Linked DNA regions of Nothobranchius furzeri. Each later gene encodes a partner of the first gene's protein in a complex. Links are inferred from orthologs where the notes say so. Each region holds a gene or a part of one and is shown on either strand. Other genes may lie near its edges.

Region 1 (7,306 bases):
TTTCCAGAAAAAAAATAAAAATCAATATTTCAGTTCAAATCCTGATTTTCTTCAAATCAAGGTTCAGCTGCAGCACATTATCCCCCACATACAGTGATATTTACAAATCTGACTTCCTACCATCCTGTTGTCATTCACTGCCTCACTTTTCAGTAGCGTTGTTTATTTATTTCTTCCTCTTTCACCGATTTGTCCGCACCGATATTTACTCGTCCCTCACGTTAATGTAATAATTGCTCCTGGCATTCCGCGCACACACGTCACAGCGATCGAAAGCGAGCTGCCCATCTGTGTGTGTGTGTGTGTGTGTGTGTCACTCACTTTGGCTCCTCCAACTGTAGCTATTTGGCTTTTCACATGTTCAAACACATTTCTCTGGAACTCGTAAATCTCCGAGCGTGTGGGTGGGGCAAAAGATACGCAGAGAAGTCTGTGCCGTCTTTCTTTATTTAAAGTGACTGTGTGTATTTTCCCTGGCAATAGGGGGAAGTACATACCTAAATCATTGCAAGTAAGCAGTATTTATGTGTTTGAGTAAAACCTTACTAATGGATGGCCTTTAGGGTCAAAAATTCCTGGAAGCATGGACGTAATTTTGACTTTAGATGTAGGGGACACAACTGGCATGAGGACGGGTGGTGGGGTGGTGGTGTCTTTATAGTAAGTATACAAAACATATGTATAAAACTAGTCTAGAGGCTCTTTTATGCAATGTCAAGAATGCAGAACTGTCAAGTACACAGGTGGCAGGAACGGCCAATCACATGTTAGCAAGTATCAGCAGAGCCAATAGCTGAGCTTATGGACGGTTCTAATAGGAAACAGGCTTCACCACAAGCAGTTGTTTTCCGCTTGGTCCTAGTGCTCACCCAGTGTCTATTTAGCTTCCTGGTCATAACAAATAAAAATCATCGATTTGCCTACGCTACAATAATTATAAACTTTTACAAGCTGATGAATCTCAAAGTAGGTGACTGGCATAGTTGAAACAGTGTTTCAGAAACACCCATCATTACTTTTCATTTAAACTGCAGTACAACGTGTGTGTGTGTGTGATCCAGGGCGTAAGGCAAGGCAGATTAGAAAATAGCGTTTTTAGCCCCGTTGACTTGCAGTCATTTTTTCGTTCTTCCGGGGACCCGTGAGCCGACCGGAAAGGGAGGAGACTTAGGCTCCCTATAGCGTTATATTGTTTTTGGACAGTAAAAAGTGCAGATGACAAAAAGTGACTTTGGAAAAGGTGGGGGGACATGTCCCCAGCCCAAAACTACATCCATGCCTAGGAGCATAACTTCCAGCAGAATGACAAGCACATCAGACCCCCTTTCATCACTGGTAACGAGTGAAAAAGTAAATGTGTAAAACAACATTTATGAATGGTGAACGTTTTGCAACCGTTTGTTACAAATCAATAAATACGTTTTGTCCTCACAGGCTGCCGTAGAAGTAAACGAGGCATCTAATATGGCATCGCCCAGAGACTTAGACCCGCTACCGTGTATTTTAGACCAGATTTTTATGGTGATATGTTATGAAGCCGCAAATGTTTTTCAACAACTGGGCATTGTGTTAAACAACATTTGATGGATATTTTCAGAGAATACCGGAAAAAACTACAAATTTTCTCATTAAGCAAAGATGTGTGTGAGCAGTATTGCTTTTGGAGCCTTCTGATATGAAGGATGCTGCTTACGACTCTCTCTCAGTGAGACTCAAGAACCACATGCTGTCTGTCTGGGCTTGAGAGGGGAGGGCCTGGTGACAGAGCGTGCCTGGATCGGTGTTGTTGATTGGTTGGGAGTCTAGTATTAAGCAACCTGATAGGCTCAGGCTACATGAAAAAAAAGAAATCGACGTTTTGATTGACCCATTTCTTTCTATCGCACCACATGTCTATCGAGTTATATTGTCCAGCCCTAGCATCAGTTGTTGGTATCAGTGACCTTTAAGCAGGCTGAGAAGGTGGAAAACATCCAGATATCAGCCCCCAAAATCTGCAGCTCATAAAATAACCATGACCTCTACATCAGCATCGGTATCGGGAATGGAAAAACCCATTTTGGTCTAGTGGCAGCCATCTTGAACTGGACTGACTCCAAAAGTAAATCAGTTGTAGACGACCCTCTGATGACAGTTTCACTAAAATCAGTCAAGTGGTTCATCAGAGAGGTTACTGTCTGCTATCCAGTCGATGTGGTGGAACTTTTATTTTTATGGAAGCAAATCCATCCACAGTCATAAACGTGTGTGTGTGTGGGGGGGGGGGGGGGGGGGGGGGGTCTCTGCTTTCATTTTCGAGGAATTCAAGCTGCTGTAAGAATCCCTCAGCTCTTTTATGCCACCAGAGCTCCCATCACAACCAGCCTACCTTCATGTGGGGGGGGTAGGAGCTGCCTGGTGCTGCTGGAGGAGCAGCAGCAGCTGATGGAGGAGGAGCACCAGAGGTAGCAGCAGCAGGAGTAGCACCAGCAGATCTGATGGAGTCCAACGTTACATCTTTAAAGGCTGTGATTAGATCTGGGCTGCAGATGAAAACATATTAATTATTATTAATATTATAACTTTAATTCACCACACATAGATCTAAACGATGTAAATGATAAAGATACCGACCTGTCGACGGTGATGCAGATGACTGATCCAACGACGACGTCTCTGGTGCCTTCAGGAACCAGGATCTTAGCCAGATAGCACTCCTCCAGCATCTCGAACCCTACAGTGGCTTTATCAGTCTCCACCTACACACACACACTTTATTTACTCAACAAATCGTGATGATATTTCAGTTATCTATGATCCACAGAGCTCCTAACCTCAGCGATGAGGTCGCCCTCACTGATCTTTTCCCCTTCCTTCTTCTCCCAGCGAGCAATGGTCCCGGTCTGCATAGTAGGCGAGAGCGCCGGAAGCTCCACCTGATGAGCCGGAAACAAATCCAGGTAAAAACAAACAAAAATACGCTTCATAACAGGAGGATCCCAATCCAGCCGAATGTCAGGTGATGTGAGCGCAGCTGCAGTGTCACCCCATCCCAGCTTAATGAATGACCCACAGGCCTGATTTCCTCACATCTGGGTGGACTTTATGGTCACTGCTCTGGGTCAAGAGACATCCAATAGCAGAGATAAGCAGCAGCTCCCAGCGGAGGGTTCCCAAATAAGTATGCAACAATCCAGGAACACAAAATCAGGGATCAACCAGGACCCACTCCTTTAAATGTATGTGTAGCGTGGATGGATCGTGTTTTCAGCTTCAGCAGATTGTTGAAGTCTTTTTCTAATTACAGCTTCTTGAGATAAATCAAAATTGGCCCAAACTTATATCAGCAGAACCAGAATCTCATTTTTACCTGATAAAGTTCTCATTTTTGTTAGTAAGCTGTTTTAAAACAACTCGTCTAACTGTTGTGAACAGAAGCTTTTTGAAAACGTCAACATAAAAATCTGATCTATTCTTTTTGAATAACAGTGAAATGTAAAGTAGATTCTGACGACAATCTGAGCATCTTTCTGCAATAAATGCATGCATCATAGGTGTTTGTTAAGAACAGAATAAACATGTAATAAAACAAATAAGAACAGTTAAAGTAGTAGTTAAAGAAATGATTCCTGCATTTAGACAAAGAAACGTTTTGTTTTTTCAGTCATTCATTCAACCAATTCAACCAAAATCTCATTACTTCAATTATAAGAAAATAGTTATTTATTTAGTTTAACGGCTAAAACCTAAAATGTAAAAACATTGTCTACATGTTCAAAGTAAAATCACCAGGAAATGTAAGTAATACAATAAATAAATAAACGAGATCTGTGTTTCAAATTCAATTCAAATTCAAAAATACTTTATTAATCCCAGAGGGAAATTGATAACTCCTGATCACTGTTATTCATCTGGGCGAACACCCATCCTGTTCTTTAAGCTTCTCCTTTTGGTTGTTTCTTTCCTTTCAGGCCATTTTAAAGTAGTTTATGGTCAAATCTCATGAATATTTATGAATATAGCGTCTGGATCTGATTCACAGAGTTTTAATGCTGAGAATCTTTAGTTTGTCCTTGTTTTTCTATTATTAGTGTGAGCATCATCACCGCCCCTAAAGAGCAGATTTCAGACATCCTTCCTGGATATAAACACCAGCGGGATCTATCTGCTGGTGGAGATGTTCTGATGGAAACAGCAGCAGGTCTGCTGCTGCAGCACATGTTTAGAATTATTTAGAGTTTGAAACATCTGATGTTTCATCCTTTAGCTACTAATGGACACATTACACCGCCACCGCCTCGTTATGGAGCTAAGTGCTGCTGTTAGGTGTACAGGTGTTTTAAATCTATCGGTACCGGCTCTGACCCGGTGCCAGAACCGGACAGCGGTTAACGTTACCTTCTGGTGCGGCGGCAGACTGTAGAGACGCTTGCTTTGGCCGCCGCCAGCCGGGCGGGGACACCGCACAAAGGTCGTTCTGTGGCTGAAGCCCAGGGCCACTGTTCGGTGTCCGCTGTGAAGACGCCTGAGACACCCGGTTCCGGACACGGAGAGAGAGCCGAAGGCAGCAGGCCCAGCCGGTAGGACACGGGAACGGGAGACACCGGGACACGGCCGGAGCCGCAGCATTAAACGAAGCATTCTGCTGCGTGTGGAATCGAACACCTGTCTGATAAATAATTTACCTGCCTCACAGCGGCATTAGAGACGAGCTGGCAGTAAAAACCCGGCGCTCCGACTTTACTCCTCACTTTCTAATGACCTCCTCCTGTCAAAAACACACGCTTTACGGCACTCCTGTCGCTGCTTCAAATCAAGTGTCGTAAAAAAAGACACTTCAAATGAAACAAGATACATTTCACACGAAGCCATGATTATAAACAAACAGTGCTAGTTGTGAAATATTAAAGCAGATTACAAATTTTGTTTATTTAAACTTTAAAATATTTTAGATCTACAAGGTCAAACGGTGTAATATCCTCAATTGCCACACGGGGGCAGTAAAAACAAGCATAACCCAGCAACTCTACTACTTCCAGTTCATTTTGAGAATTCTTTACATTAAAACTTTAATTTTAATAACTGACCTGGTTTTTATAACCAAAACAAAGCAAGGTCTACGACTGTAAAACATCTTATTTATTAAACACATTAGAAAACATATTGAGTTGTGACCAAATAAGCAATATCAATATCATTTAATCAGACAAATCTAAAATATATCTACTGATGAAAATACAGCGATGGAAACCAGAAACATAAGACTGCTATGAAAAAAAATCTGTTTTATTTCAAAATATCTAACATTCCTCAAAACGATTTCTTCAACATGTTTTAATCAGACAGTATCCATGTTTTGCTAAAGAAAAAATCTTTTAACAACATAAGTGCAAAAACACCATCTCGTAAACTCTATATTTACAGTACAGGCAGTTGCGGCATTAAAAACATTCTCATCACATCTCCTCTCTTTGTGTTGGCTCACGTTGACCTAAACTGGAAAAAGACAGGAAAAGATCTGATGTTTTTTCAAACATTTCAACTCACAAAGACAGGCGCATTGCAAGCTTTTCAAAAGTGTGGGGGATGTTGTCTGTGGATGTCATCAGCTGTAAATTGAAACTCAACCCCAATCCAGTAACGGGTCCGCGCATAATTCACAGTAACAAAGCCCTTCCAAAAACATGCTAAATATTCACCAATCAGTGCTTAATTTGAGCCGGGTCTTGCCGGAACAAGATCCAGGAACTATCTTATTTTGAAACAACCGTTCCAGCAACTGTCTGCTAGGATCTGGCAACTCACGCGACAAACTTGTGCTATACAGAGGATTCGCATTACGGGTGAGCTAGGGAGCTTCAGGGGGAGCCAATAACGATCCGGGTTCTACTTATATTACATTATTCATGTGGCCTCTCCAGGGATTATTTTGACCTGAGAGGTGCAGAGCTCTGATCGTTGATGCGCTCCAGACAGATGCGTCCTGAGCACGGCCACAGTAAAATTCTCAAAGTGTCACCACCTCAAAAACAAATTTAACAGGCGATCATTCATGTCGGCTCATATCCTGAAGCGGGGAACAGTGAAGATGCAAAAACTACCATTGTTAGAAGGTTTCTGCCAATGTCGGGTTTCAAGGAGAAACAGGAGAGGGAGGGGGAGAATGAGATGAGGCAGAGTGAGTGCGAAGTAGAGAAACCAGACTGGTGTGTGGAGGTGGGCAAAACGGCTGGAAAAGTGTGGGTGTTGAACGATCTCAATAAGAAAAGTGGGTGTTGAATCCCCCACATCCCCCAAGGGTGCCACGCCCATGCATAAAGACTCAAATACAAACCATAAATAAGCTGATTACAAAACAAGGCTCCTCAAAACATTAAAAATTGCACCCAACAAAAACCAAATGAAGGTTTCAACTAATAATCTCTATTTGAACAAATAACAAATATTTTCATTTCTTCAAATAATAAAATTGTGGATAAAATCATAAAACAAACCCTGAAGTTAATCCAAAAGAAGTGATGCTTTTGTTTTTACAATGACATCAAAACACAGACGAGCCTAAAATACATTTAGACCTTAGTTCTGTTGACAGCAGATGCTCTTTTCAGCCTACATTAAACTAAAACTATAAACAGAAAAGTGTCTGGATTCAGGTCATGCACTCGTGTAGACTCAACCTCGCACTAACACCTCTATCAGAACATCTGTTCCTAATCTTTAATGAATAAGTGGCTAATGCTGCTGATTCTGATGCACCATTGTACCAGACTACACGACTGAATCTGGGGTCTACGAGGCCTCGCTGGTGCACGACACCAAACACAGAGAGACTTTCTGTCTCACCTCCCGGAGCTAACAGCCTGAACCACAACACTACTGCTACAGTTACGGCCTGAGTTCAGGCATCAGCAGGGCGAACAGCTCTGGTGGTTGTCTCTGGGTGATGAACAGCTGATCGATGACACATCATGGCTGTACACCTACAGCGGCCTAAAACAGAAAGAGAAAACAAGCTTGTTTTAAACCAGAGCTAACATAATTAAAGGAAACCCTCAGACGTGACATCCTGTTACCTCTCCTCGCCACCATCCTCTTCCAGCCAGGCCACGATTTTTCCCTCCCAGCCTGGAACGACTGCTCCATCCAGAAACACCTTGATAAACAAAGCAATGACTTCACATAGTGTGAATGTTTAGATCTGCTGCAGCACAGAACCAGACTCATCCCACTGAGAGTCCAGTGAAACCCTGCTGTGGCTGAAAAACCCCAGCTGTTCCTTACCTCCTCTTTCACCGTGCCAAACTCCGGGTCTAGAGCTTTGAAATGA
Region 2 (5,436 bases), on another chromosome or scaffold:
GCGGATTCTTCCTGATGTAAGAGGTGAGTCTTCGCTTTGTTTTGGTTGTTTTGGCGTCTACATCATCCTAGCGCGCAACGTTCTGTGACTCATAAAAAAACTGTAAAAACGGTGAAAAACGCTGGCAGCGAATGAGTTAAGGGATTAACATTTTCTGTAGGCCACGAGCACTTCTGCTGAGATTTACCCACAAATGTTTCCATGATCAGAGATGCATACAGAGACTTAGTGCCTTTTTCTAACTCCAGAAATGCTCAGGAATAATTGCGGGTTTGAAACTCACTCTCAAGATTTTATAGCTGGTTTAGTTTTGGTGACTCCTCTGTTGGTGTAGATCTCTTTCTGCACCGTGGATCACCACATCCCTGCAGAGTAGCTAAATCAGCGAAGTGTTTTCTATTTTAAATCACAGTTCATGACCAGTTTGTTGGTAAATTTCATTGGTGCTCCAGCGCTGGGGTTCAGACTGATTGGGTCTGAGCCAAGAGCACTGCAACCTGAAAATACTGGCATCCTAGTGGTGTGTTTTCCTCGGAGAAGCCTGTAGTTACCGACTCTTGAGTCCCTCTAATGACAGGAGTTTAAACGAGTCTGATCTGAGGTTTAGTGAAAACAACCCTGAACAAGTCTCGGACCAAATGTTAAGGTTGTTTTTAACTCTGTCATGCCAAAAACCTAGAAAGTCACAGCAACCTGAGGCCCTGTACACACAGAGGGGGTTATCCCACAAAACGATGATCTGTTTCTACGGTTCGGTCTGTGATCCACAGGAAAGTGATGATAAACGGCACCTAAAAGTATTCTTTCAAAACCTCCGACCAAAGTGGAGATTAGCGTAATCTCCGTTGTCGGGATTTGCTTGTTGACGTAAATAGCCAGCATCCTCACTGCCGACATCTCGTGCTACCTGTTTACGCTAGCTTGTTTTTAAAATCTCAGCTACTGATCTATGTAGACCACAGGTGAAGAGTTTGGGAACTGCTGCCACCTACAGGTTTGGCATGCTTCTGAATGAACTCCGGAATGCACTGGATGTTTTTCCGGAAATCAAGGTGGTGTGGACCCATTTTATTTTCTAGATGGGTGTGGGAGGATATTGGCTTTTATAAAATCCCGGCTACATGTGCACATGGCCCACGTGTAACCCAGCTAAGGAAATCATGACCAGTAAGGATAAACTGTGACGTCCCACTTTGTGAGTTGCTTTCATTCGTTGAATATATTCCTATCATAATTTTCCCTTCAAGCTTCTCTTTACACTCACTCATAAATGCAGACAGATCATAGTGTGTTGTTGCCTGAAGGGCCGGGGATCTAACCACCAACATGCTCTGCCCCCTTTCACACGTCTTTGTTCAGATGTCTGACTGCTTTTTGTTGAGTCTGATCAGAACTAAAACTGTTTAGTTTCGGCGTCTCCGACTTTGTTGAGTCATCCCGTTTTGGCTCTTCCATCAGATGCATATGACACTGCCAAGATGTTGTGTGAGAAGTACTACTTAGCTGCCCCCGAACTCAAGATTGAGGAGTTCAACAGTAAGAGTTCCTTTAATTTTCCACCCAAATTGCTGCATGTGTGTTTGGTGCTAAGTTGTCTCTCTTGCCTCCAGTGAAGGCTCCAAAAAAGCCCATCCAGGTGGTGTACGTGCCCTCCCATCTGTTCCACATGTTGTTTGAGCTCTTCAAGGTGAGCGGAGCTGCTTTTGCACCCACCGGTTCTCCGATTTTTAAATGTAATTAATTGGAATGTAAGAAGGAGATGAATGATTGAACTCTGTGGGTGTTTGCAGAACTCCATGAGGGCGACGGTGGAGCTTCATGAGAACAGCGCAGAGGGACTTCCACCTGTAAAGGCACGAGTCACTCTGGGGAAAGAGGATCTCTCAATTAAGGTAAACAAACAAGTGAAGCGTTATTTGAACCTTTTCGCCTCTGCTTGTCCTTTGTAACTTTCCAGATATTTCCTTTTAAGATCAGTGACCGAGGAGGAGGCGTTCCTCTGAGGAAGATCGACCGACTTTTTAACTACATGTACTCCACTGCCCCGACGCCGAGCCTGGAGCCAGGAGCTGTCCCGCTGGTTCGTGCTTTAACAAAAACAAATATCAGTGTTTACCCTGCTGATTAAAAAGAATAAAAACTCTTATCTCACACACTCGTGTGATAAAAATGTTCTTTTACTTTTCAGGCTGGATTTGGATACGGTTTACCCATTTCACGGCTCTATGCCCGATACTTCCAGGGGGATCTGAAACTCTACTCCATGGAGGGGGTGGGCACAGATGCAGTCATCTATCTGAAGGTGACATGACTCAGCATAATGTGAAAAGTGTTGACGTTTTGTTTGTCTCTGAAATACATTTTACTTAGCTTGGTTGAAGTTCAAAACAGTGTTTATGCATTTAAAAATGCGTTGTTTCCTGTTGAGGCTTGATTTTTCTTTCTGTTGAGTGCTATTGTAAGAAGGCGTGTAGCTTTGCTGTGGATAAAAATAGGAAGCAGGAAGAAGTACACCTCAGGCTTTGGTGTATGGTTACAAAACTGAGCAGCTGAAAAGTTCAGTTTGTTTTTATCTGAATACAGAATGACAGAGCAGGCTTTTAGAAACTCATCAACAGGTTAGAAGAACCAGGAACTTATTAAAGAGGGGCGTGTCATTTCATCAGAACTGGACTGGTTGCATTTTTGTCCATTCGTGTGCCCATAACATGGCTGAAGGAAGGTGTCAGAATAATGCTTACCTTCCTCAAACAGTACAGGGTCTTTTTATTTAAGGGCTGTGAGGCTGCATTGTGATTTGGTTTCTTTAGTGAATAAATAACAGTTTCTGCTTTTTGCAACAGTCAAACTGTTAAAGGATAGGACGAGCAACAACAGTGTCCAGTTTGACCTCCATTTTAAACATGGTAGGATGCACAGAAAACAAAGAAGGGGGGGGGGGGGAGGAGGAAAATTTGTGAAAAGCCCCAAAAATCAACGATCCCGGATGAGCCCCCAAGAATGAAATGGATTTTTCATCAAGAAGGCTGAAAGGACAAATATTTAGTCCAGGCTCATTGGAACATTTAAAGGCATTTCTGTGAAATTATAGAAACCAAAGATAAAGAGAATTTAGAACAAAGGAAGGAAGTCGCACAACTTTCGTGTGGTTTTCTAGTTTCTCCAAACACTGCTAATAATGAGAAATTATTGACAAAAGGATGCGGCACAAAGCTGGTGTCTGTAGAGGAGCCCAGAGGAGGAGGCCTTATGACCTTTTTGCCCTTTGACCTGCAGGATCATGAGCTGTATTTAACTATATAATATGTTGCTTATTTCAACCTACATGTGAAAACTTGCTGTTTGATCTTAGCTACTGCTAAGCTAATTAGCCCATCTTTTAATACATTAAAGCTAGGATAGGAGTTCAGGCAAGCTACTTTTTGAAAACAATTCAAAGATCAACCCCCCCCCCCTTTTTTTTTTTTCAGTTATCCCCTTCATGCCAGACCTCCAGAATACAGGAATGCGCAATGCTTGCTTCCAAGGATTCCACACAAAATAAGAGTGTTTTTCTCGCATTTGTCTAAAACACATTGCCAGTAATGCATCCGATTGTCAGTCTCGCAAATGTGCCGCCCATCCCTGGGTCCTCCATTCATTACACTCGAGGAGAAACGGCCAGCTGCTACCACGTTAACTTTAGGTCAAACTACCAGAGTCCCAAAAGGAAAAACACTATGTGAAGTCACAGTCAACAAAAGACGTTTGGACCTAGAAATGATGACTAGTGTTTAGCGCCATCTCGTTTCATACAGCATTGCGGGTTTTTGGTTTTGGCAGAAGCGTCTCAGGGAAAATACCCAAGTGTTTCATGACAATGTTTGCATTCAAAACCTAGCTTGTTTGCAGATTTGTTATAACAGCTTTCACGTTAGATGGTACCAACAACTCTAGACCAATACTTAGTCATGTCTTTGCTGTTGTGTTTCTCCATCTAAAGGCCCTCTCCAGTGAGTCCTTTGAGCGCCTGCCTGTATTCAACAAGTCAGCTTGGCGCCATTACAAGACCAGTCCGGAGGCGGACGACTGGAGCAACCCCAGCAAAGAGCCACGAGATGCCAGCAAGTCCATTTACAAAGCCAACAGATAATTCTGTCTGGCCCACTAGCGTAGCGCTCGGCGTGGAGCATGCACACCTAACCATTGCCTCTGAGTGTTTGTTTAGGATTAGACTCACTTTAACATCCCTATGGTGACTTAAATTGGCACCCAGTGGCAATAACCATCTTTAACGCAGCTTTCATTGTCCATTGAACCTCCTCTAGATTCTCCCAGTGATCTCCCATTTGTAAATGGCCGTGTTCTTTGGTGACAAATGTAGAAATCATGACCATCGAGCTGAACTCACTGCATCACTGCTATCTCTCCCTCTGTCTCGTGCAGTTTGGCCTGCCCCGGCTTTGCTGACCAAGCTTTTACTCCCTGTGGCTGAATAAGCTACACGCTGCTGATTGAGAGTGTTTCTCAACATCGGGAAATGCTTTCTCATTCTGAAAACACAGGGAGAGGTTAGTGTCAGTGAAAATGGGAAGAAGAAGAGGAGGAGGTTTCATTTCTTTTATTTTTATTTATTTTTTTCTTTTAAAGAAGGACGCTTGACTGGCCAGTGTGTCTTCAGCATGGCAAAGTCTTGGTTGCACTCCTTTATGGGTTTTTTTTTCAGTCAGAGAACATTTTTGAAATCTAGCACCTTTTGAGGAAGAAAAGGATAAAGTTCAAATTATTTTTAAAGCTTTAGAACTTAAAATAAATAAATAAAAGGAAGCCCGATATGAGGAACGGGTGATGTTTTTAAAACTACCTTCAAGGTTGCGCTAGAGCTGTTTTATAGGATACGTGATAAAAACGTACGAGTTTGTGTTTCTATTTGACCTGTTTAGCTTTCTTTTCTAAAGTTAACCAGCCACTCACTGTTGACAGAGGATGTCGATTCTCGTTGGACGTTTTTGCTCACGGTCCAGCCTTACAGGACCAAACGGGTGTGTGAAAACACCCCGGTTCATTCCAGCATTGTCTGCTGAGTGGCTGCAACAACACCAGCAAGACGTATTGTTCAACCCCTCGTAGAACAAACTGGACCTGCTGCTTCTGAGTAAAGGATGCAGCTCTACATGTCTTGAATTTGTGCTGCTGCCATGATAAGTGACACGCTTGCTGCTCGGACCCGTTAACTTAACCCTGCTTTGGACTTCACCGTGCCTGACTTGAATTGCTACGAATCTCTGGAGTCTTCTGAATGAGTTTGAACAAAGCTTGTACATTTTAAAAATCCACCTGTTTTATTATGATTTAGAAGGTGCAGCTAAAGTGAATTGGTAGCTGACAGATTGTTCAGTGGTTGATAGTTTAATTATAATTTGTCAACTGTATGCTTTATATATTTTCTTATTTATA

Evidence for each region.
Region 2: the proteins of dlat (region 1) and pdk3a are in contact, whole or in part, in a crystal structure (PDB 1Y8N), measured with the Homo sapiens proteins. The link is inferred for Nothobranchius furzeri from reciprocal best matches to the Homo sapiens genes DLAT and PDK3. Residues at the interface, in NP_001922.2 of Homo sapiens: Ala225, Leu226, Ser227, Pro228, Thr229, Glu248, Gly249, Lys259, Ala260, Ile262, Glu265; in NP_005382.1 of Homo sapiens: Arg21, Phe22, Ser23, Pro24, Ser25, Pro26, Leu27, Phe48, Lys51, Val55, Asn373, Lys374, Ser375, Arg378.

Annotation. Positions count from the first base shown.
Region 1 is NC_091750.1:45,048,150-45,055,455, reverse strand, and holds the start of dlat (dihydrolipoyllysine-residue acetyltransferase component of pyruvate dehydrogenase complex, mitochondrial), read right to left. Parts: upstream 4,769-7,306; 5' UTR 4,621-4,768; coding exon 4,378-4,620; intron 2,916-4,377; coding exon 2,814-2,915; intron 2,739-2,813; coding exon 2,614-2,738; intron 2,523-2,613; coding exon 2,369-2,522; intron 1-2,368. Other genes in the region: dixdc1b (dixin), read right to left, coding at 6,960-6,969, 7,053-7,132, 7,261-7,306.
Region 2 is NC_091747.1:54,906,640-54,912,075, reverse strand, and holds part of pdk3a (pyruvate dehydrogenase (acetyl-transferring) kinase isozyme 3, mitochondrial), read left to right. Parts: intron 1-1,458; coding exon 1,459-1,536; intron 1,537-1,610; coding exon 1,611-1,687; intron 1,688-1,790; coding exon 1,791-1,892; intron 1,893-1,972; coding exon 1,973-2,080; intron 2,081-2,188; coding exon 2,189-2,302; intron 2,303-3,982; coding exon 3,983-4,103; intron 4,104-5,436. UniProt on the Homo sapiens protein: Inhibits pyruvate dehydrogenase activity by phosphorylation of the E1 subunit PDHA1, and thereby regulates glucose metabolism and aerobic respiration. Can also phosphorylate PDHA2.